7 linked regions of the Cricetulus griseus genome follow. The protein of the gene in region 5 interacts with the protein of the main gene of each other region in a pairwise test. Links are inferred from orthologs where the notes say so. Each region holds a gene or a part of one and is shown on either strand. Other genes may lie near its edges. The genes, in order: Ube2k, Prpf31, Upp2, Numb, Siah1, Inha and Ctsk.

Evidence for each region.
Region 1: the proteins of Siah1 (region 5) and Ube2k interact in binary tests that used the Homo sapiens proteins (3 or more experiments, as listed by UniProt). The link is inferred for Cricetulus griseus from reciprocal best matches to the Homo sapiens genes SIAH1 and UBE2K.
Region 2: the proteins of Siah1 (region 5) and Prpf31 interact in binary tests that used the Homo sapiens proteins (3 or more experiments, as listed by UniProt). The two-hybrid records come from large-scale screens. The link is inferred for Cricetulus griseus from reciprocal best matches to the Homo sapiens genes SIAH1 and PRPF31.
Region 3: the proteins of Siah1 (region 5) and Upp2 interact in binary tests that used the Homo sapiens proteins (3 or more experiments, as listed by UniProt). The two-hybrid records come from large-scale screens. The link is inferred for Cricetulus griseus from reciprocal best matches to the Homo sapiens genes SIAH1 and UPP2.
Region 4: the proteins of Siah1 (region 5) and Numb interact in a two-hybrid assay, tested with the Homo sapiens proteins (2 studies listed by BioGRID and IntAct). The link is inferred for Cricetulus griseus from reciprocal best matches to the Homo sapiens genes SIAH1 and NUMB.
Region 6: the proteins of Siah1 (region 5) and Inha interact in binary tests that used the Homo sapiens proteins (3 or more experiments, as listed by UniProt). The two-hybrid records come from large-scale screens. The link is inferred for Cricetulus griseus from reciprocal best matches to the Homo sapiens genes SIAH1 and INHA.
Region 7: the proteins of Siah1 (region 5) and Ctsk interact in a two-hybrid assay, tested with the Homo sapiens proteins (2 studies listed by BioGRID). The link is inferred for Cricetulus griseus from reciprocal best matches to the Homo sapiens genes SIAH1 and CTSK.

Annotation. Positions count from the first base shown.
Region 1 is NW_023276807.1:132,581,975-132,586,123, forward strand, and holds the start of Ube2k (ubiquitin-conjugating enzyme E2 K), read left to right. Parts: upstream 1-1,349; 5' UTR 1,350-1,551; coding exon 1,552-1,614; intron 1,615-4,149. UniProt on the Homo sapiens protein: Accepts ubiquitin from the E1 complex and catalyzes its covalent attachment to other proteins. In vitro, in the presence or in the absence of BRCA1-BARD1 E3 ubiquitin-protein ligase complex, catalyzes the synthesis of 'Lys-48'-linked polyubiquitin chains.
Region 2 is NC_048602.1:21,556,712-21,559,541, forward strand, and holds the end of Prpf31 (U4/U6 small nuclear ribonucleoprotein Prp31), read left to right. Parts: coding exon 1-44; intron 45-147; coding exon 148-220; intron 221-754; coding exon 755-883; intron 884-968; coding exon 969-1,067; intron 1,068-1,904; coding exon 1,905-2,030; 3' UTR 2,031-2,330; downstream 2,331-2,830. UniProt on the Homo sapiens protein: Involved in pre-mRNA splicing as component of the spliceosome. Required for the assembly of the U4/U5/U6 tri-snRNP complex, one of the building blocks of the spliceosome.
Region 3 is NC_048599.1:116,114,140-116,118,386, forward strand, and holds the start of Upp2 (uridine phosphorylase 2), read right to left. Parts: upstream 2,801-4,247; 5' UTR 2,798-2,800; coding exon 2,736-2,797; intron 1-2,735. UniProt on the Homo sapiens protein: Catalyzes the reversible phosphorylytic cleavage of uridine to uracil and ribose-1-phosphate which can then be utilized as carbon and energy sources or in the rescue of pyrimidine bases for nucleotide synthesis.
Region 4 is NC_048598.1:119,939,788-119,943,287, forward strand, and holds part of Numb (protein numb homolog), read left to right. Parts: intron 1-2,395; coding exon 2,396-2,536; intron 2,537-3,500. UniProt on the Homo sapiens protein: Regulates clathrin-mediated receptor endocytosis. Plays a role in the process of neurogenesis.
Region 5 is NC_048596.1:162,343,992-162,348,082, forward strand, and holds the start of Siah1 (E3 ubiquitin-protein ligase SIAH1), read right to left. Parts: upstream 2,801-4,091; 5' UTR 1,593-2,800; coding exon 1,394-1,592; intron 1-1,393. UniProt on the Homo sapiens protein: E3 ubiquitin-protein ligase that mediates ubiquitination and subsequent proteasomal degradation of target proteins.
Region 6 is NC_048595.1:428,647,794-428,651,733, reverse strand, and holds the start of Inha (inhibin alpha chain), read right to left. Parts: upstream 2,801-3,940; 5' UTR 2,551-2,800; coding exon 2,500-2,550; intron 1,988-2,499; coding exon 1,765-1,987; intron 229-1,764; coding exon 1-228. Other genes in the region: obscurin-like protein 1, read left to right, coding at 3,064-3,940. UniProt on the Homo sapiens protein: Inhibins and activins inhibit and activate, respectively, the secretion of follitropin by the pituitary gland.
Region 7 is NW_023276806.1:61,002,486-61,006,535, forward strand, and holds the start of Ctsk (cathepsin K), read right to left. Parts: upstream 2,801-4,050; 5' UTR 2,752-2,800; coding exon 2,464-2,751; intron 2,049-2,463; coding exon 1,926-2,048; intron 1,845-1,925; coding exon 1,689-1,844; intron 627-1,688; coding exon 408-626; intron 1-407. UniProt on the Homo sapiens protein: Thiol protease involved in osteoclastic bone resorption and may participate partially in the disorder of bone remodeling. Displays potent endoprotease activity against fibrinogen at acid pH. May play an important role in extracellular matrix degradation.

The sequences.
Region 1 (4,149 bases), on a different chromosome or scaffold from region 5:
AAGAGTTTTTATAATTGATGTCTACTCAGGGAAACATTGAGATGCTTCAGAATTTTGGACTCGTAGAAGTCTAAGCACCTCCTTATTTCACAGATGAGGGAATCGTAGCTGACAATGGAGGTGGCATGGGACAGAATGGGGAATAAAAAGTCCTCTCGGCTCTTGCAGCACTGCCATGACCCTTCCGCTTCAGACTCCTGAAATCTGGGATTACAAGTGTGGACCACCACACGAAGCTCCTATTAGTCTTAGAATATTCAAGTGATTGATTAAGTGACGAAATACACGAAACATACTCCTAAAATAAAACTTCCACTATTTCAAAGTACCTCTCAGTACCCAAACTATAGTATTTGCTTTAAACTCTACTGACCACTTTCAAATCGCCTTCCAACATTATTGTTGACCTAAAACATTTTACTCCTTTATCATCTTCTCCATTCAATTATACTCACGGCTTATTTAAATCTACCAGTGCCAAACACCTATGTAGGTCTAGAGCTCCTTCATCCTCCTAAGGAGTGTCTATTTCTCCAACTTTCACTATAATCATAACAGATTTTCATATGCTTAATTCAGCCGTTCTCACAGCGTAGTCGCTGAAAAATAGGCAGCCAGGTATCTTGCTAAGAATGCAAATTCTTAGGCCCATCCACACTGTAGGGATAGGGCCTAGCAATCTTAAGCTCTCCAGGGATTTTGAAGCACCTCAAGTTTTAAAACAATGTTAGTTCTACAGCTCAACATTCATTATCTAAACAGGCCAAAGATTAACTTCTGGCTTTTAAACCAACCACAGGCCTCTCCCTGGCAATACCTGTAGCAAGCACAACCCGTGGGATCCAACCATTACACAACTTCAATGTGTAATACCTGAGATGACCGAATAATAGCTGCGTTATCATGGTTCCAGAACAAAAGCTACGGCAGTGGATTTCCCGGGGGGGTTTACCAACGGACGCTGGGCAGGACCGAGTTCCTGCATAGCTTTTTCCTCGGTTGGACACAGGGAGGCACCTCAAGCCCGTGGGCTCTGGGTCTGGCAGAGTTAGAGCGGGGCTCAGGCCGGGTGGGGCCTGGGGAACCCGCCAGGTGGGGCTCCCACCTCGGCTCCGAGCCTCCCGGGATAAGGGGCGGAGGGCCAGGGGAGGACCGGCCAGGCCCAGACCCCGCTGACCGGCGCGGAAGCCGCACCCTCCTCGCCCCAGACGCCGGCAGGGCGGAGCCACGCGGCCGAAGCCCCGGCTGAGACGCGCGGCACGGCGCGGCGCGGGCTCGCTGCTGAGACGTATGGGGCTGCCACAGGAGCGGCTGCGCCGCCCGCCCGGGTCAGCGTGGTGCGCATGCGCGGACCCGGCGCCATTTTGGTGGCCGGGCGCGGAGGTGATTCTACACTGAGGGGGAACGCGGCGGCAAGGGTGGCAGTGGCAGCGTTCGTGTGCTCGGGTCCGAATCACTGAGGGAGGAGGCGGTGGAGGAAGAGGTGGCGGCGGTGGCGGTGGTCGTAGCGGTGGCGGAGGAGGCGGGTACGAATCAGCTGCGGGCAGAGACATGGCCAACATCGCGGTGCAGCGAATCAAGCGGGAGTTCAAGGAGGTGCTGAAGAGCGAGGAGGTCAGAAATGATCTACCGGACACCCCCATCTCAGCCCGGGGCGGGAGGGCCCTCCCTTCCGCGACCCCGGCGGTCCCGGCTGGCCTCGCTGCGGCCGCCTCTCAGCCGATGGGGAAGCGGCGCTCTCCCCTCCTCCTCCTGCCGCCTTTCCCTCCCCTCCCCGGGCCCTGGGATAGACGGTCTCGCGGGCGGCCGGCCGGCCTGGGGAGGAACGGGGTTTGGGGGACAGATGCAGAAGCACTTGTCGGGGACACGTGAGCTCTGGGGAGAGCCCCGAGGCGGAGGCAACATCTGTCTGTGTGGCTCTGGGGTGGGGAAGGAGCAGGCCGAGAAAACCCGGGAAGTGGGTTGGGGGAAGGGGAAAGATAGTAACTAGATCCCCGGCAGCAGCGCACCTCACAGGCCCACACTTTTCGGGGTACTCTGGGTATTGCTTGCCAGTCCTTTGCTGTCTTTTCTTTGAGGAAGGAGCCTACAGAGTCCTTAGGTATGAACGAAAGGAAGACATTCAGTTACTCCCTTGTAGTAGTGTTGGGGGACACATGGAGACATAATGGTCAGTCTCGTATTTGGAAGGGGTGTTGAAGCAGTTTTCATTACATATAGGAAATGAATTCCAAATTAGATAATCATCTCGTTTCCACGCACTCCACCAGTCACTAGGCCTCATCATTGACATTTAGTTGTTTGTCTGATGAAAGGCAAGAAGTTTGTTATTAAATGATTTGAACTAGGAAAAAAGGATGAGTAGCTTATTTCAAAATACTGTTTACCAATATCAGAGTCTCTCCTAGGGCAATGCCTCTGTGACTAGTGTACTGTGAAACTTCATTATGATGTCCCTTGTAGGTAACTTAAGTCTTACTTTTGAAAAGAGGCATATTAAAAACAAGAGATTTCATCAGATTCGCATTGTTGTAGCTCATTATTGAGTTAGGTTTGTTCTGATACAAAATATGTCACGTAATAGCATACTAAAAAATAAGACTACCCGTGAGTCCTTCAAAATTTAAATACGTTAATGCTGGTCATACTTATGTGAAATATTGAATTTTAACAATCTGACTCAGCTTTGCAAACAATAGTACAATTTTTCAGATCTGAATGAACAAAAATCCCAGATTTTCTGTGATTGAAGTTAGCAAGAAAATTCTGAAAGTAATTATCTTTCTCAAGGTTCACATTCCACTGTCCAATAAGCAGTGCTATATGTTCTTATGTGCTTGGTATTTTGATAATGCCAATAACGATCTTTAAAATTAGATATTTTAAGTATATGAGGAATTGTTACAAATCCTTTAGCACTCCAGCATTATTTGTGCCACTGAGTCTGCAGATAATTATCCATCTTTGGTAGAAATTTACTTAAAATTGAAGTGACTATATTTGCAGGCTTAGTGAACAGACTAAGAAATAAGTAGTGATCTGTCTTACATAGCATGAACTCTGACCTCTGTATTCATTTGCCAAAACTCTGAATGGAAGGATGACTTTGTATTTTTGTGGAACAGTGCAGAAAGTGTGAATGTCTGTATTCACATACATTTTAACAGTGATTTTAACTTTTTCTTTAATAAGCAAATGTACTTTGGGATTGTAGACATATATTCTTAATGAAAGATGAGAACTGATTTTGTTGTCAGCAGCCTAAAACGTTTTTTCTACAATAAGGTTGTACAAGTCTTTAGACTTGTAATGCTTTCTTTTATTTAAAAGTGTCAGGTTACTGGCCTGAAAATCCATATATCCTCTGCTTTATGTGATGTGACTTTCTATTTAAGTGATGGATTGAGGAGATGACTCCTTGGGTAAAGGAGGCTTGCTGCCAACCCTGATGACCTGAGTTCGGTCCGGAGGACCAACAAGGTAGAAGGTTATCCTTTGACCTCTATACCCACACATGCAAATAAAAGTTCATTCTCAAGAATGAGATTAAAAAAATTGTCATTATCTCTTAGGAAAACAGGGATTGCAAACACAAGTTATTCAGGAACAGTGCCTTTATAAACCTTGTAGGAACTTAGGAACCAGGAAAGTAAACTGCAAAGGATACTTGGAAAAGATCAGATAAAATTTAATATTGTAAACTGGTCATGGTAGCACAAGCCATTAATCCCAGCACTGAGAGGTAGAGGCAGGCTGATCTTTGTGAGTTAGAGGCCACCCTGGTCTACAGTGTTCCAGATAGCCATGGTTGTTAGAGAAACCTGTCTCAAAAAAAAAAAAAAAAAAACCAACAAAAAAAACCATTTAGTAATATAAAAAGCACTACAGTTAGTTCTATTCTCAGTATTTTGTTTCATCAATGTTTTAGTATGTTCAGTTCCATAGATAGGCTGTTGGTTAATTTTCACCTTAATGAAGGACCCATAGTGTAATCTATATATTTTATTTAAGTATATAAATGTAATTTTTCCAATAGCTGATCAAGTAATTATTTCAGCATGTCACCTCAGTAAATCTCCAGTGTACCAGGTTTAATTCATATGCTGGTGTTTAAGAATTTTGGTGGATCTAATGACTTATTTTTGACCA
Region 2 (2,830 bases), on a different chromosome or scaffold from region 5:
CCTGCTCCCCTTGATGGGCAGCGGAAGAAGCGAGGGGGCCGCAGGTAAGGGGCTCTGGTGGCGCTAGAAGCTGGGAAGCGGGGTGGGAGGGAGGCTGGCACCTTCCCAGCCGACTTCCTATGTCCTGTTGACTCTCACCTTCCCCAGGTACCGCAAGATGAAGGAGCGGCTGGGGCTGACAGAGATCCGGAAGCAGGCCAACCGCATGAGCTTTGGAGAGGTCAGGCTTGCTCACAGTAGCAGTGGGACCTTGAGGGTTCTCTGCATGTCCTGCTGCCATCCCTCCCCTCCACCCTGCAACCCTAGAGCAGATCTGGGGCTACCCCAGCCGCATCCCTCCTGCCTAGCCTCTCCTCTCAAAACACCCTACCCCATGGAGATCTTTGCAGTTCTGAGCCCGCTGCCCTCCCACCCAGCTCCCCATGCCACCGTGTCTAACCATCATCCAGGAGGTCCCGAGAGAATCCACTTAGGCGCCATCTCAGTAGCGCAGCCCATCCCAGTTCTTGGCAACTTAACCAGAGCTTAGGGAGCAGTGGCCACTCTCTGTTTAGGTCAGGAAGCAGTTCTTCCTAGGGTTCCCTGCTACATCCAAGCAGAGCTAGGCTGGGCTCTTACAAGGTCATTTAGTGCAGTGAGTCCTTCAGGCATCCGTGAGACCTGCTGATTGGAGACTCCCTGGGTCCCAGTGGACAGGCCTGGGGGACTGGCCGAATGTGGCCAGCTTCTTAACAGTGGTCACTCCCCTCTCTAGATTGAGGAAGATGCCTATCAAGAAGATTTGGGCTTTAGCCTGGGCCACTTGGGCAAGTCAGGCAGTGGGCGTGTGCGGCAGACACAGGTGAATGAGGCCACCAAGGCCAGGATCTCCAAAACACTGCAGGTATGGCCAGGGCCCATGGGAGTGGGCGGCAAGGAGGGCACGGAGGTCTGTGAGCCTGCGTCATGGCCTCCCCCTCTCCCTGCAGCGGACCTTACAGAAACAGAGTGTGGTATACGGCGGGAAGTCTACCATCCGAGACCGCTCCTCAGGGACTGCCTCCAGTGTGGCCTTCACTCCACTCCAGGTACCACACCCTCTCCTACCAGGCATGTAGTGGGGTTGTAGCAGCCCTGTTGACCTAACACATGAAGAGCTTAGGCATCCGGAGCCACAACTCAGTGCAGATGGCTGGCAGTGAGAGCTGTCACAAGCTCAGACCAACTTTGGCACTGGACTCTGTCCGTGTGGCCCAGATACTCTGAGCTTCCTGTCCTCACTTTGAGATAGCCCCAGTCGTCAGGGTAGCCTCAAGGTGGGTCCCAGTGTCACAGCCCAGTGGCCCTGGACAGTATGAAGCAGAGTGGCCTCGGGTTACTCACCACAGAGGTAGGCAAATGTGTCCGGTAATGTGACAAGCCTGCTAGAATGCATACTCTGAATCTGTGCCATCTTTCTTCCCGGCTTCAGGTATAGTGATAAAGAGACAAGCTGTGCCTTTTGGGGGGGTCATGGGTTGGAGGACAGATGAACGAGTCAAGTATATACTGTATTAGGCCATGGGTGCCAGAAAGCAGCAGCAGGGGTGAAAGGCGAGTGCCGGCATTGTCATCACTGTATGGCGTGAGAGTCGCCCGAAACTCTGGCTGGTCATGTCCCTGTAAGACTCAGTTTCCTCATCCAGAATCAGACAGACAGGAGTGGTGTTTTTTTTAGCATCACCTGAGGACGTTAACAATGCTGATACCCAGGCCCTGCCCCTAGACCCACTGGGTCAGAATCTCCCGAGCTGAGGGAGACTCCAGGGGCTGTCAACAGTTCCGTGTCCGCTAGAATGTTCGGGGAATGTGACATGTCTGGTTCCCATACAGCAGGGAGGCCTGGGCCTCCCCACCTTACCTGCCCCCCTCCCTTCCCAACCCAGGGTCTGGAGATTGTGAACCCACAAGCAGCTGAGAAGAAGGTGGCAGAGGCCAACCAGAAGTATTTCTCTAGCATGGCTGAGTTCCTCAAGGTCAAGGGTGAGAAAAGCGGCACTATGTCCACCTGAAGGGGCCAGGCCCCGGGTGGCCACCCACTGGAAGGACATGGACAACTGGAGCTTTGAAGTGACCGACCTCCGGCAAGGAAGTTGTGGTGGAGGCAGCCTGCCCTGCTCTGTCCTTGGCCCAAGGCCAGAGCATCCAAGAAACGGGGTGAAGAGCCTCGGCCCGTCTCCCCAGAACCCAGACTGCTGCTGCCCCAGTTAAATGGGCGGAGGTCTTCCTCACACTCGTCTTTTTTACTTACATGGGTAAAGGAAGTGGTTTTCTAGAAAGAGTACAATTAAATGCACAGTGTCAGGCTCTGACCAGAGGGTGTGATTATTTGTGAAAGACCCAGAGGAGTCAGAGCTATGGGGTTTCCAGTCCAGGTATCTCTTCTGCTCCTGTCCTGGAATCTAAGAAGAGAAAAGCCCCGTCCATTTCTGACATCACCACCCACCCCCTGAGAACCTCAGCATCACGGCCAAACAGTATGGCCACCACAAAGCTCCAGGGCCCAACAAAGGTCATAGGATTATTGTTGACCCTCAGGCTAGATGCCTCCTTGGTCCAAGATCCACATCTGCACGGTGAGGCACCTAGGAGACCTGGGGAGTGTGTGCAGAATGCACCCAGCACCGGGCTGATTGGGGAGCCAGTGGTTTTAATCCATGTTGACTGAGGGGGCCATGCCTAAGTACCCTGCCCTGGGAGGCACAAATGCCAGCCAGGTAAGCAACAGAAACCATCTTTGGTGTGTTAGGAATCTGTGATTCTGCAGGTTAGCAAGAGTCACTGCTGGGCTCTGTTTTTCCTAGCTTGAGCT
Region 3 (4,247 bases), on a different chromosome or scaffold from region 5:
AGGAAAGGATAGGCAGGGCTTTGGGCAGAAAGAATAAATAGAAAGAGAAAATTTGGAAGAAAAAGATCAATGAGCAAGAAAAGAAGGGGCCAGCCACACAGCCAGACACAGAATAAGAAGAAAAGAAAAGATATACAGAAATAGAGAAGACAAAAGCCCAGAGGCAAAAGATAGAAGGGATAATTTAAGTTAAGAAAAGCTGGCTAGAAACAAACAAAGATAAGGCTGGGAATTTATAAGTAAGAATAAGCCTCTTAGTCTGTGATTTGTTCATTTGAACTGGGTGGTGGACACCACCCCAAAAGAACAAAGAGCCAAACAAGTAAAGAGTAAAAAACAGCCAACAACAATTCTCAAAAGATTCAGATGGCTGACAAGTATATTTAAATTTATCAATATTCCTAATTATTAGGGAAATGAAAATTCAAAACAATTCAGCATGTCTTCACACCCATTAGAATTACTATCAAAGCCCACTAATAACAGATGTTGACAAGGAATAGAGGCAAGGAATAGAAACTTTGTATTCTATTGGTGGACACATAAACTAATATGGCTAGTCTGGGAAAATATTTTGGGGCGACAAAAAACTGAAATAGAAGTATCACATAATACGGAATTTTCACTTTTGTTATTTATGCAAAAGAACTGAGATTGGTGTGTCAGAGTGATCTCTGTACTCCCATGTTTATTATAGCACTATTTCCAATAGTGACATATATAGTTACTTAAATATTTATATATGTTATGAATATATTATAAATGTATTTATATGCTTATAAATATATTCAAGATGGAGTACTATTCAAACTTTTTTACAATTATTTATTTGTGGGTATGAGTGTGAATGTGCACACACAACAGAGTGTGTATGTAGGAAACCCAAGGACAACTTGTGGGAGTCGTTTCTATCTTTCCATGATGTGGGACCTAGGTACCCAACTCAGGCCATCAGGCTTGGTGTCAAGTGTTTATTTGCCCACTGAGCCATCTCACTGACCTCTCAGCTTTTATACAGAAGAACATCCTGTCATTTGTGACCTGGCTAGAACTGGAAGCATGTTAAGCTTAGCACCAGCCCAGAAAGACAAACACTTAGCAGCCTCTCTCTATGTGGGCTCTAAAACTGTTAATCTCACTAAAACAGAGGGAAGAGTGGTGGATATCAAAGGCTGGAGGCTAGGGAGGTATGGAAAGAGATGCTAAAAGGGAACACAGACACAGTGACATTGAAAGAAGCAGCTTAGTGATCTATACGTCTTGCCTGGTAACCACAGGGAATACATATATATTCTTACTACCAAACAATGGGAAATGGGTGAGGTGATGGATATATTGGCTAGATCAATAGAATTTTCTACAACACATGCATAGGTCAAACCTCTCTCTGGGCTGAGGATATAGAACAGTGACAAAGTACTTATCTAGTAGGCATAAGGTCTTGGTCAGTCCCTAACACTGCAAGCCAACTGAACAAACAAACAAAGGCCCATCAACACATTGTACCCATAAATATGTCAATTATCACTTTCAACTAAAAACAAATAAATGAATGTCTTTAAAAGCATTGAGGAAAGGCTTGCCTGAGACTTCACGCCAAATTCAAATCCATATGAAGCTGGCTCTTCCAATGCTTTGTTCTTTCTAAAATCTGTAGCTAACACCAAATAGACTCCCACGTACTGTTTCCTCCTCAAAACTTTTTTTAAAGCCTAACTTCACTCTTTTTCCTAACTCATGCTCTAAATATTGGTCACCAAATAAAAGTGCTAACTGGGAGGCTTTCCCTTGGCTTCCTTGGCTTCCATGAAGGAATGAAAGTGGCAAGAGAGGTCTGTTTGAGCTTGCGAATGGAGTGCTGTCTGTACGCTTACATCACGACATTTCCCACAATTCTCGGCAAGTCAGAGGGAACTTACAAAAATTCCTTAAGTGTCATGAAGACTAATGCTCTATTATGTTCTGTTAACCTGAGGCAGAAATTAGAGTTTAATTTTCAGGCAGCTTTGGCAGATTTATGCCTACCTATGTGATGAATAACATCCATGGTATTTCAGAAGTCGATTCTATGTCAAGTCTGTCTATCACAAAGCATATGAAATTATCCCATGACACACTCAACACAGTTTAAATGCCATAGGCACTACCAGGCCCTTTTATTATTTCTCATGTGTAGCCTTTGGTCCTGGAATTAAATTCTGAATTCAGGGCACAGTGAATTCCAAGCTGTACTTTGAATTTGTCTGTTCCTGTGGGTTGGTTAAACTTCTTACGGTTTTTGTATGTTCTTTTGACCTACTTTCTTTTCTATATGTTATTATTATGTGTATTATTTATTATTTTTTATAAAATTATGTGGCAGTGGACATGCTAGGAGGCACATGTGGAGGTCAGAGGACAACTCTGTGGAGTCGTTTCTCTTCTTCCACTGTTACATGGGTTCTGGGGGTGAACTCAGGTAGCCAGGCTTGCTCAACAGACACCTTTATCCACTAAGCCATCCCACCAGTCTCTACTCTATGTTCTCACATGAGCCAACTTGCCAACTCCACAGGTATCAAAGAAGAAAAATTTACAGTGCTTTTATGTCGATTTGTATTATGGACAGTATTCCAATTATTTAATGTCCAGTGTGAAAAGAAGTATAAAACTCTGAGGGTATGTCTATGAGCACTTAAAATAAAATACGAGGCACACTCACCTGGCTGAAACAAGAAAAGATCAAAATTACTCACCCCTCATATGTATTCTTGTCTGGTCTCATGCGTCTATTAGAAGCAGGTAAAATGGAAGCCATTCTCTGCAGTGCAAGATATCGGGGAAAAGCACTATTAGGGCCTGCTGTTAAATTACAGATCCAATAACAGCCACACAGCTCCAAGTTAGACTAGCACCGTCCCTTCAAACTTAGGTTTCCTTCTGAAGTTTTCTTCTAAAATTTTCTCTGTGCATTTTAAGCCACTTTATCAATTTCGAAACACCATCCCAGGATGGCCTTTTATATGACAGCCAAGCTCTCAGAGCATCATTCCCCCAAGAAGATAGGTTCCTTTGGAAGGTGTGGCATCCTTTCTCTTTGACCAGGTTGGTTAGCTTATCAGATTTGATCACTGAACCTTTCCATGGCATCTGACTTCGGTCCCAACGTAGGGCTGGCTTGACACACCGACTTATTTGCTTTGAAAACAACTGAATATGAACACAAGCCTGCTTTTGGCTTCCATGCCAACCTCATCAAAAATGTGTCCAGTACACGTGAGAACTTTCAGTTCTCAAATACTCCATTTTCCAATTCTTTCTCACTACTTGCCAATTGGTTTTTTGTTCTGTGTGATTACTAGTTAGGAAAACATCCAAAGTCAGGACCTAAGAAATCCTCCTAGTTGGAACTTTGCCCTCTCAGTTCATACAAAAGGTCCGATGGTTAAACAAAGCTGCTTTCCTAGGGCCTCTTCATTTAACTGAATACTAAGTTGATTCTACTGTCCACTAAAACATGTCTCTGGGTGTCAATGCAGGTAGAATAAAGAATTATAGCTTAGCATTTTCAGAAAAGAGAGTGTTTTTTTAAGTAATTTATTAATTGGTAGCCTGCTGTGATTGTGAAGACCTATAATCCCAGCACTTAGGAGTCAGGATAGGATAATTGCTGGAAGCCTGAGGGCAGTCTGATCTACAGAGTTCCACAACATATACAGGCATAAAGCAATCCCTGTTATAGAAAGAAAGAAGAAGGGATGAAGAGAAGGAAAAAGAAGGGTGAGAGGGAAGGAAAAAGAGAAGGAAGAAATAGGAGAAATATGAATTCACTGTTTGCTGGTGCATTTCATTCAGGAGTAAGGAAATCTACTTCATCATGGCCCTTTCTCTCATGGTTCCTATGGGATTCTGTATGGAGCACCAGTTCAAGAACCTCAGTGCCATGGGTTTTTAAGCAAATCAGAACTTAAAATATTTGCAAATGTCAAATAGAAGATATATGGCATTTCCTGATGTGTGTGGATTTCTCTTTAAGAATGTACATAATAGACAAGAAGCAAGTACCCTGGATCTTAACTTCTGCTGAAGACCATTTTTTTTTAAAACACTCAAATTTCTTCTTGTTTTTTCTTTTTTGACTTCTTTTGGTTCATAGTAGACAGTCAGCAAAGTTTTCAGAATGGGAAGGCAAACACATGTTGGGGAACAACCAAGGTAACCGAGCCCTGGTGTGGCCACTGCCCACCAGGCACTTGTAATTTTACGCA
Region 4 (3,500 bases), on a different chromosome or scaffold from region 5:
TTGTTCCACTTAATGTAGCATATTTCATGTACCAAGCATTAATGTTTAATGCTAAGATATGAGTTCTATTTTTGTTCCATGTTTAATTTTTTTCAGATCCATGAATATATAAAGTGATGTATCTTTTGCTGTAATTTTTTAGATGACAGGCCACATCTTAAATTTACCCTTGTTAAAACGTATGTTAGAAAGTGATAAATGAATCAGCCAACTCAAAGCTCAAAGTTGAAGTAAATTTTAAGCGTTAGAGGTAAGAATTTATTTAGGATTCAAGCAATATTCTGGGTATCATTTTGTATTTAATAGAAAGTGACCCTAAATGCTTAAGATATGTAAGATCACTTAATCATTACTAACTTTTCTTGAGACCTAAAGTCAGGAAACTTTTTTAACCAGGACTTAATTTAGAAGTGGATAAGGTTGGGCAGACAAAGAACAGGTTTGATGAGCAATTTATCTGATTTTTTTTTGTTTGTTTTGCTTTTCAAGGCAGGGTTTCTCTGTGTATCAGCCCTGACTGTCTTAGAGCTCTCTCTAGACCAGACTGGCCTCAAACTCACAGAGATCCCCCTGCCTCTGCCTCCTGAGTGCTGGGATTAAAGGGGTGCACCACCAAACCCAGCTATGTATGATAATTTTTAAGCACATTTCAGACTTTTGACTTTTTTTTAAAGATTTATTTATTATGTGTACAGTGTTTTATATGCATGAAGTCCAGAAGAGGGCACCAGCTGTCATTACAGATGGTTGTGAGCCACCATGTGTTTGCTGGGAATTGAATTCATGTTCTCTGGGAAAAACAGCCAGTACTCCTAACCTCTGAGCCATCTCTCCAGCTAACACCACCCCTTTTTGTTTTGTTTTGTGTTTTTTGTTTTGATTTTTTGAGACAAGGTTTCCCTGGAACTTGCTTTGTAGACCAAGCTGGCCTCAAACTCACAGAGCTCCTCCTGCCTCTGCCTCCCTAATGTTGAGATTAAAGCCATGCGCCACCACCTCCCAGCTGACTTTGTTTTTTGTTTGTTCAGAATATTAATTGGCTTAAATTTTGATGTTTTTAAAAACAACAATGACTTAAGTATCTTTTAAAACTTGTATCATTTTAATTCATGTTTTGGATGACATTTATTTTGAAAAGGGATCTTGCTGTCTTTGATCTAACAATCTCTGCCTCAGCCTCCCAAGTGCTGGGATTGCAGTTTGTGCTGCCATACCAGGCAAATTTGTCATGCTTGTGACCGTGTCTTTGTTTTTCGCTCTTGTTGGAAATTAATACTGCCCCTTGGTGGCTACTTGTAGCAGCTCATTTATGAATTTTGTTCTTTTCTACATTGATTGATGATAGCTGCTGGTGGTTGAGTGGGTCGGTAGAGACGGGTCTCTCTATATAGCCCTAGAGAGCCCATAGCCTAGTCTTGTCTGGAATTCACTATGCACCAACCCAGTTTGGCCTTGAATTTGCATCATTTCTCTTGCCCTAGCCTCCTAAGTGCTGGGATTATAGGCATGAGCCATACTGTTTGTACTGTTAGCTAGTGGCTTGTCACCATTGGGTCCATTTCCCACCTTTATATTTTACCTATTGTCAGGGACTAAATACAGTGTTGGAATTAGTGCTTGTGACAAGGCCATTCCATGACCTGCACAAATTAATATAGATACCGAAGTCTGAGCTTCAGGTCCATAACCTTTCTTTGAGCAAGAAACTATGTTGTGGTGATGCACAAATCTCTAGCATACAAAGAAACAGAAAATATACTTCATTCTCACAGAGAAAGCAAAGACCCAACTCCAAAATAACTTAGGTGTTGGAAGCAGCAGACAAAACTTGTAAAGCAGGCATTACAACTCTACTAAGGGATGTAAAAGAAAAAAATGCTACTATCAAATAAGCAACTAGAAAGTCTCAGAAATTATGAAAAAGCAGCAAAATCCTAGGGCTGGAAGAGAAAATTGTACTTCTCAAAATTACAGTACTTGAAGTGAAAAGAAATCCAGTTGGTTGTAAAAAGGGAAAGTATAGAATACTAGGTATCAGTCTCATTTGCATACCAAAGGTACTGGGAACTCACTTTCCTATGTTTTTGCTATATTTGCAAATAAACCAGTAACATTGATTTATGTATGCATACTGTCAAATTGAACGTGCCAGTTACTGTGAAAGAGCTTCAAGCTAGGACCAACTGACACATATGCACTTTAGAATATGAAGTGATGCTTCCTAGTCAAAATCTGTTCCAACTATGGGATACAGCTACTGGATACAGCTATTCATAGCTCAGTTGAAACCTACGTAGGGGACTCTGCACTGCAGAATGAACATCCAGTGATGCTTCTGAGAAGACCACACAACTAACTCATAAGCCTTCTCTTGCCCTGTGCTTCCATTTCCTAGGACCTCATAGTTGACCAGACAATAGAGAAAGTTTCTTTCTGTGCCCCAGATAGGAATTTTGACAGAGCCTTTTCTTACATATGTCGGGATGGCACCACTCGGCGCTGGATCTGTCACTGCTTCATGGCTGTCAAGGACACGGTAAGTCCAACATGGTATATGCCATTATGAGGAGTCTACCTGAGCTGCTTTCAGCCAATGTCAGCCAGGCAGTTCCACTATACTTTTAGTAAGTACTCGATGCTAAGGCTGATCATAAAAGTACCTTCTTTGTAAGATCTTATTCCTTTTATTCAAGTAATTCTCACTCTTGGTCTGAGCCTGTGAGAGGGAAGTCACAAAGCCAAGCAGTTGGCTAAGATCTAGAGTCATTAAAGGGAAGCAGAGACACCTGGTGAGCTCATTGGCTGATACCATGATTCATTCCCCAGCACCACAAAGAAAGGAGGAAAGCAAAGAATGGGGGTGAAAGAGGACAATATGTTGCCATAGTTACTAAACTTTAGTTGGAGCTTTTCATCAGTAAAGTGCTTGCAGTTTGTTTGTTTGTTCTTAGAATCTAGTTTGGGGCTGAAGAAATGGCTCAGTGGTTAAGAGCACTGACTGCTCTTCCAGAGGACCCAGATTCAATTCCCAGCACTCACATGGCTCATAACCATCTAAGCTTCAGTCCAGGTGATCTGATGTCCTCTTCTGGTCTTTTTGGATACCAGGCATGGACTGCAGTTTACAGACATACATGCAGACAAACTACCCATAAACATTAAAAAATATATATATAGGGTTTGTGTCTGGACAACATTACACACCTTTAACTTTAACCCAAGCACTTGAGAGGCAGAGGGAGGTGGATCTCTGAATTCAAGGCCAGTGTCAGCCTACAGAGCAAGTTTCAGGACATCCAGGGCTACACAGAGAAACCCTGTCTCAAAAAAAAACAACAACAACAACAACAACAAAAAAAAACGAAGGCATATTAAAAAAGAAAGCCATAAGTTGGTTTATGGTTTCAGAGGGTTAGAGCCCCAGATGGCAGAGCAGCAGAACAGCTGAGAGCCCATATCTTTATCCACAGCAAACAGCTACAAATAGCATTGTAAATGGC
Region 5 (4,091 bases):
CCATTCTGCAGCACAAATCTCATGTAACATGCAAAGGGAAGGGAAAGTCAGGAAACAATAGGAGGAAGTAAGGGTAAAAGCATCACACAGACACAAACACAGGATGGGGAGAGGGGCAGACTCAATAAGCAAAGAACTCCCCTGCACCCTTGGGTTCCCTGTGTGGCTGCAGCAAACACCAACTATACACACTGATTTCAGAGTCATCTGGAGGAAGGACCAGCCAGTGACAGTCAAGCACAATAAGCTCCTTTCCCCAGGACTCTGCCTCTGGGGAATTTGGCAGGGTGCAATTTATCTCAGACGTTGACAAAAGATCAATGTCCTAATAGTGCACTCCCTGAGACCACACTAAATAATATAGTAATTCTCCCAGTTATAATCACTCTGTTGCAAAGACCTTTAAGTTTCAAAAAAACTGAAGTTACAAATGTAACCAAGTCAATACAAATGGAATTTTAGTAGACAGTAACATTGTAAATAAGGGGGCTAAGAGCAGCACTGGAGGTTTAATTTTTTTTCTTTTGTTACTAAAGCAATACTAGCAAGTTCAAAGGGCAAAACAGTACTAACAAATGTTTAGCTTGCCTATATCCCTTGGTTTCATCTCCAACACATACAGTATGACAAAACTCCACCACAACAGCTCAGACTCATGGAGGAATACAACATGAATTAGCTCTCATCATCTGAAGCCCTGTGATCCAGGTGTCATAATAAAATGGCCCCTCTGTATTCTACTTTCCACCTGATCAAATTCTTTATGCAGCTGATTTATCCACTTTAGGTCAATGGCCTTGGCATTACCAAAGCCATGGGTTTCCCATCTGCTTCACCATGTTAACTGTGGCTCACTTAAAAGAACACAGATTTTGGAAAGTGATTTCTCGAAACAAACAGTTCCGGTCACATCAAAGAGCTCAGTTTATATTTAAACACAATATAGCCAAGTTCAGAAGAAAAACACTAGCCCAGTGCTTTGACCTGGCAAAACACCTCTAACACTTATCAGTGTAAGTTTGGGTTCATGTTACATCGTATTTTTATTGCCTTCCAAACACTAGAGAAAGCACACTGATATTCTACCCAGCATGATAAACAAAATGTGGTTGGAAGTATGACAGCACAGATAACTGCTACACCATTCCCTAGTTAGAAGGATGGAGTGTGGCTCCATCTTGAGCCACAAAGCCTCTCATCCACAAGCAGCTGCAAGGTAGAAACCAAGGACAAGTCCACAGAAGTCTGGACACACCTGAAAAGCTAGATTTAAGCAGGAGTTGCCACAGCTCCACTGAGCCCTCAATGCCGACTTTCACCAAGCCTAAACCAGAATCTATGGATTCGTGCAGTCCAGTTTCTGTCTCGGAAACAGATGTGTTTACGTCAGTACCTTTCCTCTTCCTGGTCCTGGTCCTAACTGTCGGCAAGCATGCGAGCAGGACTCCCTTCCAGGAATGCAGAAGGGGTTCGGGCGGCTTCCAGGTCATAAGAATCGAGGCGTCAGGTTCCTGCAAGCCACAAGGCCAGCCTGCACCAGAGGACCCTGCAAGGCCCTTGGCTCCTAAGCATAGAAGGCTGCTCACTTCCATTCAGTCTTAAGACCTGTCCCCAGGAGAGACAACACCTCCCATGAACTCTAAACTGGGTGGTCAGCAGAAGATGGCCAGCAGCTCTGGCGTCCTGCTGCTTAGGCTCCACCACCTGGCAGGCCCTGGGGCAGGGCCTCGAGAAGGGGCGGACCTCGCTCCAAGCCCCGCCCCACAGACCACCTGGACAGCTCTGGCAGACGCCACGGCAACATGAAGCCTGTGCACTTGGCAGCACTTAAGTCCCGTAGAACATGTTTCCGGAGGTCAGGATCTCAGTGCTTTCCTAAGTCTCTAGGGTAAGAAACACACAGGGAGGAAGGGAAATGCGCAACCAGGCAAGCACTCCTAATGTCAGCTTTGTCCTGTGAATTCTCAAGAAAAACATTCCCCCCCACAACTCACTCAATATTTCCAGGCCTCAACTACTATTTTCCTCAATTCTAACTCTGCCGCTTGTGTGCCAATCTATTTCAAATGCCCCCTTCCAGTGCAGTGAGAATGTAAACACACTCAGGGCATGTAAACCTCCACTTCTACCTCCAAATTGAGGTTATATATTCATCCCACTCTGGGAAAGTTTTCTTAACTGGCCTCATTAAACTAGAGTAGCTTGCCTTGTTTTTAAACAAGCACTACCCTTGGCCCATAAAGTCCTATACACTTCAGACCTGGATGGTGTCAGCTGAATCTTCAAAGCTTAAGCTGGTATTACATCACACTTAGGACAATCTTCAAATACAACCAGAAACTGGCAGTGAGTGCCCCAATACAATGGGTTTCACACACCTTCTGCAACTTCAACTCCAACCACTTGCCCACCTTTATTGTATTCAATCACTTCCACCTAACTGTTTAATACTAGACTACAACAAACAGCTTTAAGAACAGAAATATAAACTACACATTCTAAATTGCACATCAAGCCTATTTTGGCATTAAGTTTAAATAGCTATTATCTAAAAGGAAATAAATAGTATTAATGCCTTTAATTTTGTCACAACATTTTTAGGGCATTTAGCCACATTTTGTTGTTGTTCTTTTGGGAGAATTTTTGTTTGTGGAGGCAGGACTCACTCAATCATCCTAGACTACCACTGATTTCTAAGAGTCTGAAAATGACTTTGAACTTCTGATAATCCAGCTTTCACCAACTTCCAGTGAGTACTGGGACTGCTCACCACCACACCTAGTTTTGTGTGGTGCCACACCTTTGGAAAAACTAAGCAAGCACTCCACCAACTGAGCTATGTCCCCAGCTCATATACATTTGTTAATGTGCATGGGTGTTTTGCCTGCATGTGTATATATACACCACCTGCATGCATGATGCCAGCAGAGGCCAGTAGAGGGCATAGGATATCCTGGAACTGGAGTTTGGACAGTTATGAGCCATTATTTAGGTACTGAAAAACATCCAAAAGAGTAGCAAGTGCTCTTATCTGTTGAGCCATCTCTCTAAGTCTTGCACTCTTTATTTAAAGAAAATAAAAAGGTAGAATACCAAGACTGCTCACCCCTTAATTTCCCTAAAATTCTTAGAAATTACATGTTTATTATAAAGTTACAATGCTAAGGGTTATAGATGAGTGATGTGAGGTCTAAACCCCGAAGACACGTAGTTAACTGAGGTGCTTATTTAACATACAAATTGGACTTGGCTGCCAGGTTTTCCCTGCATCCCTCAGTCCCTACCTGTTACAGGGTATGGCTGGCACACCCCACCTCCTACCCTACATTTCTCCAGCCCAGGGGCTGAGCTGCCCTTCCCTATATAATCCAGCCTTTTTGGTTACATGCACACCCTCACTGTCTATCCTGTACTCTCCTGGCTCTCCTCCCCCCCTTTCCTCTCTCCTAACATGACCTGGCTCAGGGTCATGTTCACTCTGGACTCTCCTAGATATCCCTGCCTCTGGCTATGCTCTCCCTTTTATCTATAATAAACCTCCCCTCCACCATACCTAGGAGCAGTCATATCCTTCCTTTTTAATTTCATTTTTTTTTCATTCATCCGGTACCCACAGCCGGGAATGGCATAGATGAGCTCCCTTCCAAGTACCTGGGCTGCTCTGAATCAAGCTGCTGATTTGCCTCTCCTAAGGTTTGTAGAGATCACTTGTTTCCAATAACTCCTGTCATCTATCAAATTTGACCCCAAATTCTAGAGTCCGCTGTCTCACTACTTCTCCCCCAACGCCCACATGCTCTAACCACGCCTGTCCTTGTCTATGCCATGAATGTATCTCTGACTCCTAGGGCCTTCTCCATCTCCCAAGGAACCCAGCCACCTGGACACTGGCCTCACATCGCAGCTCCACCGGCTACATCTGTCTGGATCTCTACCAAGGACACTTACCGTCTCCCTTTTCCCCTGCTCGCCCATCTCTCTTTACTGGGTAAGTGTCACCTCAAGCTGCCTCCTTTGTCTACTATTACTACAAAAGCCACACCAGGGTGACAGGAAGCTCCTCTCGCCCTATTTAGGCCCCAGTCACATGG
Region 6 (3,940 bases), on a different chromosome or scaffold from region 5:
GCACAGCCATGGGCCCCCCAGATGACAGCACCAGCAGGTCTAGCAGGGTCCCAGAACTATTGGAGGCCTCGGTGTTCTTCCTGTCTAGCCCTGTGTGGAACCACAACTGGGCTGAAGTCACCTGGTGCCTGCGCATGTGTTGGGATGGCCGGAACACGTAAGTGAAGAGACCTTCTCCAGCCTCCTGGGCAAGCCCTCCAGCAGCTGGCTGGTCCTCACAGGTGGCACCTACACGGGCAGAAGAGAGACGGCAACCTTGATCTGTAGGGTTGGAAACATCTCCATCTCCATGAGAAGAATGTCGAGGACATCCCTCAGTGCTGATTAGGTGTCAAACACTGTTAAATTCCACCTAGACCCGTACACTCTCTGGAGTCTTGGGAAAAGTAACAGAGGCTCCCCAGTTTTCCATTCACCATCAAAACAAGACATTGGCAATATCTCTCCTAAACGGCTTTACTAATTAATGTAAACAGCAATGTGTAAGAGCCCATTTCACTCTGTGCTTTCCCCCTCAGGGACACTGGTTAGTGTTCATCAGATTAACATAGTGATTATCTTGGCTGTGGCGTGTATGGATGTGTACATAACTCGTATCTCACCACGTATATCAGAAACTTTATATGACAAATTCCCTAAAATAATGGTATTTTTAAAGGCAGTTTACAGGGTAGGGAGACAGCTCATTTCCTAAGAGGCTTGTTGCTTGACTGTTTGGACCTGAGTTCAATCCCCAGCATCCACAGAGAAAGCTATCTGCATTCCGTGTAATCCCTCACAGCACTAAGGAGGTAGAGACAACAGTGAAAGACTGTCTCAAAACCTAAGGTGGGAAGTGACTGAGGAAGACGTTTACTGCCAACCTCTGACCTTCACACACACACATACATATGCATAATCAAAGGAAAAGAACAACAAAAGAAAGTGGACGCGACGTGGGGAAGGGAAAGAGAAAGAATGGAACGAAAAGGAGAATAGAATAGAGGTCCATTCCTCCCAGGGAAGGGCAGCTGGCATTCCTGCCCCAAAATACACAGAGACTACAGTAAGTATTATGGACCAACTGTTGTCAGAAGACTGGCAATCGGGGCCCCACTAGTACACAGCCTCTCTCATTATAAACATTCTAACAACTGATCCAATTTCTAGAAAAGACACTGAGGCCAGAGATATGAAATGGCTGACAGTTAGCTATTAAGTGGCCAGGCTGGGATTCCACTTGATCTGAAATCCATACTTTCTCCTACTATGCTGCCAGGGGCCGAAGGGAGGGAAGTGAGGGGACCTCCCTAAAAGAGCTGTGGGCCAGATGAGAAGGGGGCCCAGTGGGAGGAGGGCTTTACTCTTCCAGTCATCGGGATATGAGAAACACACAGGGATGAGAAAGAGACTCCTGGGGACATAGCCAAGCATTCTGTTGCATCCCTGAGACCATCTCAAGTCCCAACTACCTAGAGCAATGAAATGGTGTACGCGTGGGTGTCGGTGTGTGTGTAAAGACAAAAGACAGGAACCTGAGCCGTAGAACGTTAGCTTCCCTTTGATATTCCAGTTGTGCCAGGCCCACTGGATGGTTCCAGCCTGAGTAGTAGAGGCTACCACCTATTTGGTGATGACCAGAGAGGCTTAGGAACTGTCCCATTGCTGCAAAGCCAGCTGAGTGCTGGGGCTGCCATTCACACCCAGATCTGCCTGGCTCCCAATCCCTTGAGATAGGTACCAGCTACTTTCCAAAGTTGACCTGCCAGTCCCCAACTTCATTACCTGTGGCTGGGAAGAGGATGACCTGGGAGACATCCTCCTCCTCTGGTTCAGAGGTCCTGTGCATGGAGCCTCCAAGGGCGTGTCTTCGAGGCAGCCGCCTTATTTCAGGACTCCCACCTTCCCCAGCCATTACTGGGGGCCCCAAGGCATCTAGGATAAGAGCCTTCACCTTGGCTAGGACAAGCTCCCGCACCAGTTCTGGCCCCTGGCAGCCGTCCCCATCCTGTAGGGTCAACAGCAAAAGAAGCAGCAGAGACGGCTGGATCACCATAGTTCACTTGGCCCTGACAACAGGGAACCCACACCCTGCCCTGTGCCCCTTCTGTCCAAGACCTTCCCACTCTCCCCTCCCCATCCTACTGCCTGCCTTCTTCTACCCTTCTCACCCCAGTCTCCCCCAGTCCTTCCCACGCCCTACAGTCCCAATTGCCCCTGCCCATGGCATTGAGACCTCCTATCTCTGACGCAGATGTCTGTGGCCCTGAGCCTTATCTCCCACTCCCGCCAAGAATGTGGGGGAAGGGGCTGTGGAGGGTGTTCACCCCAAGTGACCTGACCCATTCATGCGAGCATACAACCCAACACACACACACACACACACACACACACACACACACACACACACACACACACACACGAGAGTCGACGTCAGGTACAACAGGTGCTTGGGTGTTAAGGCTGGCCAGTCATGAGTTCCTGAAAGTGTCATTTGTCAGGAAGACAGAATGTACCAACCCCCTCAGACTTTCTGGGGCTCCTTTCAACTACAGCAGCTGCTAGGGCCATCGTGGGAGAGAAGACCTGGGTCTGGGGCTCTGGGCCGAGGGCAGGTGGTCCCGCCTGCTCTATACTTAGCCTGGAGGAGCCAGTCTGGGCTCTTGTCCTCCAGCTGTGTCATCAGAGAATATTTTTGGGATTGGCAGCTGCAGGCGCCCTGCCACTCAGGCCCAAGCCTGGCCGGCAGTTAGGGACCTGGCGGCAGGAGGTGGGAGGGAGGAGGGGAAAGAGGCCCAGGCTGTGGGAGGGGGCTGGGAAGCGAGGCTCCCGGGAGCAGGAAGCCAGGCCGCCGGCAGACTAGGCTGCAGGGCCCCTGGCTGCACAAGCAAACAGGAAGGACTGCCCCCTGAGCTCTGGCCTCCGGGCCCGGAATCGCCGCGCAGCAGGGCTGCAGATCGGGTCGAGGGGAAGGAGGCGAGCGGACACCGGAGGGCACCGGAGTCCCCGCGCCTACTCCGCCACGCTCCTGTCTCGGCTCCCGGCCTTCCCGCCCACCCAGACGTGCCATTTGCAGCGGCCGCGATGAAGGCTGGCTCGGGGGATCAGGGGAGCCCCCCGTGTTTTTTGCGCTTCCCGCGGCCCGTGCGGGTGGTAAGTGGCGCCGAGGTCGAACTTAAATGCGTGGTCCTGGGGGAGCCGCCGCCCACTGTCTTGTGGGAGAAAGGCGGACAGCAGCTGGTGGCCTCGGAGCGCCTGAGCTTCCCGGAAGACGGCGCCGAGCACAGCCTGCTGCTGAGCGGAGCGCTGCCCACCGACGCCGGGGTCTACGTGTGCCGCGCCCGCAACACGGCCGGAGAGGCCTACGCGGCGGCCGCCGTCACCGTGCTGGAGCTCCCCGCTCCAGAGCCCGAACCCCAATCCTCCGAGCAATCGCTGCCGCCGCCGGGCACCGGGGAGAGCGCCCCGGTGTTCCTAACGGGGCCCCAGTCTCAGTGGGTGTTGCGCGGGGCGGAGGTGGTGCTGACGTGCCAGGTGGGAGGCCTCCCGGAGCCCAAGCTGTACTGGGAGAAGGATGGGATGGCCTTGGACGAAGTGTGGGACAGCAGCCACTTCGCGCTGGAGCCGAGCCCCAGCGAGGATGGCAGGGGTGCGAGCCTGACGCTGCGCATCAAGGCTGTGCGGCTGCCCGATTCCGGGGTGTACGTGTGCCACGCCCGCAACGCGCACGGCCACGCGCAGGCCGGCGCGCTGCTCCAGGTGCACCAGCCCCACGAAAGCCCGCCCCAGGACCCGGATGATCCCCCCGTGCCCGTGGTGGAGCCTCTCAAGTGCGCACCCAAGACCTTCTGGGTGAACGAGGGCAAGCATGCCAAGTTCCGCTGCTACGTGATGGGCAAGCCGGAGCCCGAGATCGAATGGCACTGGGAGGGCCGCCCTCTGCTCCCTGACCGCCGCCACC
Region 7 (4,050 bases), on a different chromosome or scaffold from region 5:
GCTCAAGGCAAGACAAGTTCAGGGTCATCCTCAGCTACTTAGTAAGTTCAAGGCCAACATGGACTATATGAGATCTTGTCTCAAAAAAAAGGGGACCAAGCTAGGCTAGCTTGGGATACATAGTAAGATACTGTCTAAAAATTAAAGGGAAAGAAAGAGAAGGGGAAGGAGGAACAGGAAGAAAGAAAAGAGAGAGATGGGGAAGGAAGGAAGGAAGGAAGGAAGGAAGGAAGGAAGGAAGGAAGGAAGGAAGAAAGGAAGGAAGAAGGGAGGGAGGAGGGAGGGAGGGAGGGAGGGAGGGAGGGAGGGAGGGAGGGAGGGAGGGAAGCAGATACAACAACAGGAAACAAAGTTATGCTGGGGGAAGAGCCCGCACAGCCTCCACACTGTGGTGGGTGTCATCTCACCTGACCCACATATGGATAAGCATCTTCAGAGTCAATGCCCCCATTCGTCTGCACATACCGGAAGGCAGTGGTCATATAGCCGCCTCCACAGCCGTAATTCTCAGACACACAATCCACAAGATTCTGAGGACTGAGATTTAAGAGTTTGCCTGTCTTCTTCTTGAGTTGGCCCTCCAGGGCACCTGCAGAGCTAAAAGCCCAACAGGAACCACACTCACCCTGAGAGACATACAGAAAAACTGTCAGTCATGGATTTTCACATGGGTGCATCTTTCTACCAGCCTAAAAATGTTCACACATTTTGTGAATTCAACACAAATGCTGGTTTTGTTGTGAACCTTATTGTCGTTCCCCATGATAACAACTGTAATAACTGTTTCCTTTAACTGGAGTCAAGTACAGTACTTTGTGGCTTTGGAGACAGTTCTCCTGAAGTCTAACCCTGGTTTTGCACACTAGTTTTGTGACCTTGATTTGTTACTGAACTTCTCTGTGTCCCAGTTTCCTTACCTTTAAAAATGAGAATAAGTTGGGCTTAGTTGGACATACCTGTAATTCCATCACTTGAGAGGCAGAGGCAAGAAGATCAGGAGTTCAAGGTGAATCTCAGCCATATACTGAGATGCAGGCCAGCCTGAGCAATGTGAGAACAGAAAAGGGAGTGTATTATAGTTAATGTATTGACTCCTGTGAGCAGTGAGAGACTTCACTGACATGTAAATCACAGAAACTCCTTGTGCACAGAGATCTCTCAGGAATCGTCAGCTATTATTAGTGTCTACTCTCCTCGACTGCACAATTGTCTTTTTCCCAGATTTTCTGTTTTTTAAGAATAAGAAGTTCTTGAGGAGGAAGTCTTGACTCTTTACCAGGTAGCTAGCACCCTACTTGCTTGGTTCTAGGAGAAGGGTGGTATTTGTAGAATGAATGTTATATCAATAATTCATCTTACTGACGACACAGCCCTGTGCTGTTAAGATCCTAGGAAAACTGAGATTCTCTTGCAGATAAGAATCTAATATTGTAAAAACCTTTGGGGGGAGAATTCTCTATGTCCTAGTAACTACAATTTTAGAATTTACTTTGCACAAATATTTCTACATGAGCACAAAAATATATGCATCAGATGCTTGTTGTAATACTGTAAGTTTTTAAAAGCAGAAAAAAACCCTATATATACAAAATAGGTAATGATTAAATAATAGAATATGATGTATTCTTGTAGCATAAGATATACCTCAGTTCAGGCCAGACTACCTACACACACACAAGCAAGCACACCTGATTTTTGACTGGAGTAACATATCCTTTCTTTCGATAGTCGATGGCATCTGGGGCTCTGCCTTCCCACTCTGGGATGTAGAGAGTGTCATTACTGTGGGAGTGAGAAGGTGGTAATTTGAGTCCTGTCATCTTCTGAACCACTTCTTCACTGGTCTGAGACAAAGCAGAAGGCCAAGCATTAGCAGGGACCATGGTAAAAACAGTGGGTGGGCCTGGATCCCAGAGGCAACTCACCATGTCTCCCAAGTGATTCATGGCCAGTTCATACGTATGGACACCAAGAGAGGCCTCAAGGTTATGGATAGAAATATGCTTCAGGTTTTTTTCCCAAATTAAACGCCGAGAGATTTCATCCACCTAAATATAACAGTCAATAAATTCATTGACTGTGTGTCGTTATATAGGTAGGTTTTAGGAGAAAAATGTACCATAACCAAAAAGAGTTTGCAATCTAGCTGGGGAACTTAAAGGTCCACACACAAAAACAAAAAACATATGCAAAGTTCTAGAGATACCATAGCATAATAGTATTATAATGAGACATACACACGGCACAGACACATCTTTGGTGCTGGGTACTGGACTCAGTGATGTTCCTGAGCCATCCCTCCAGCGGGCCTGCCGCACAAAAGTAAAGCCAGCTGGAGAGTTAGGCAATAGGGACTGCTTGCTTGGGGCAAAGCACTGTACTCTGATTGAAGGGAATCTAAAACTAAAGCAGAGGCCTCAAGCCCCAGCCCTCCTCCCTGCTTCCCTTGCAGGCCCCAGGCACCTTGCTGTTATACTGCTTCCTATGGGTCTTCTTCCATAGCTCCCACTGGGTATCCAGCATCTCCTCAGGGTACAGAGCGAAGCTCAACATGGGTAGCAGCAGAAACTTGAACACCCACATCCTGTGAGAGGAATAATTAGGGGAGACTTCCATCGACAGGAGGTTCAGTCTAAGCCAGCCTGTGGGTGTGGAAATGATGGCAGACACATTACCAGGAAGGCATTTGTACTGGCCTGCCTTTGGGGTTCTGACAGTATATGCCTCAGAGGCTGCCACTAAGAGCACCATCTGTGCCTGTTCACTATGTTCCCCTTTAAAAGGGCCCTGCTCACCTATCCCACCCGCCTGGCTGTTCCTCCCTCCCCTCCCCTCTTTTCCCCTCCTCTCTCGCCCACTGCTCCTGTCCATGGAGGCTGATTCCCCCTCACCCCCTTCCCTTTTTACAATCATTTTCCCTTAATAAAGAAACCATTCTGATTGAACTCTGTCACATGGTGTCATTCTCTCTGGAGCAGCTTTTTTAAAGTCACAACAAAGGTGCCTTTTAACTTTTTAGGAGCTATAAAAATGAGTTCTGTCTACCAGAAAATTACACATACATGCATTAATCCTAAGGGATTCATAAACCCAAAAGAACTACACACACACACACACACACACACACACACACACACACACACACACAGGAACGTGATTTTAGAGATATGGTTTTGCTTTGTAAGTCTCTTAGAGATATGGTTTTGCTTTGTAAGTCTCTAAGTCTTGTCTAGCCTTGAGCTCACTATGTTGACCAAGATGGCTTTGAATTCAAAGGTCTGTCCCCTCTTCCACCCTGCACTAGGATTAAAGGCATGAGTTAGTATGCCTAGCTTAAGAATCCCTTCTTTTGAACTATAAGGCTGGCAATGTTGGCTGTATGTGGAAAACAGACAAAGAATTGCAGGCGATTTTCATGATAAAGCAATAATGGGCAGAAGTGGGGGTGGGGTGCTGGGACATCTGATTTCAATTATTCCAACTCAAAGATGTTCCATCAAAACTGCATACATGGCAGACAACCAGAGCCGGTGACTGGGAAAGGCTGGGCACTGCTCTTCTCCAATACCCCCAGTGAGGACAGAATAAGCACAGTGTGAACGTGGTTAGAGACAGTTCCATCTACAGTGTGCTTCCTGCTTTGTTCATGGCATCCTTCCTCCTTTGCCAGATCTTGCCAGGAAAGAACAGGGCTAATTTGCAGTTTTTATCTAAGATATGTTCACTGTGTCATTTGCCCTATCCATTTTCTCCTTTCCTCAATCCTCTCCCTCTTTAGGCAGGAAATGGTTCTAATCTTAACCAGATGCCATGGGTTTTTTTTCTTTTTTTTTCAGAGACGTGGCTGCTTCACAGGACAAAAGCCGCAGATGTGTAAGAAGAAAATGCAAGACAGAAGGACAATATTCTATAATGACCAAGTCCACAATTCACAACTTTTCAGGAATTTGCTCTGGCTTCATTAATTTCTTGCAGTGACTTAATTGCAAATTCTTAAGTTTAAAAACCACTTCCTGTCTCCAGCACATCATATGACTTGTGCAACACTGA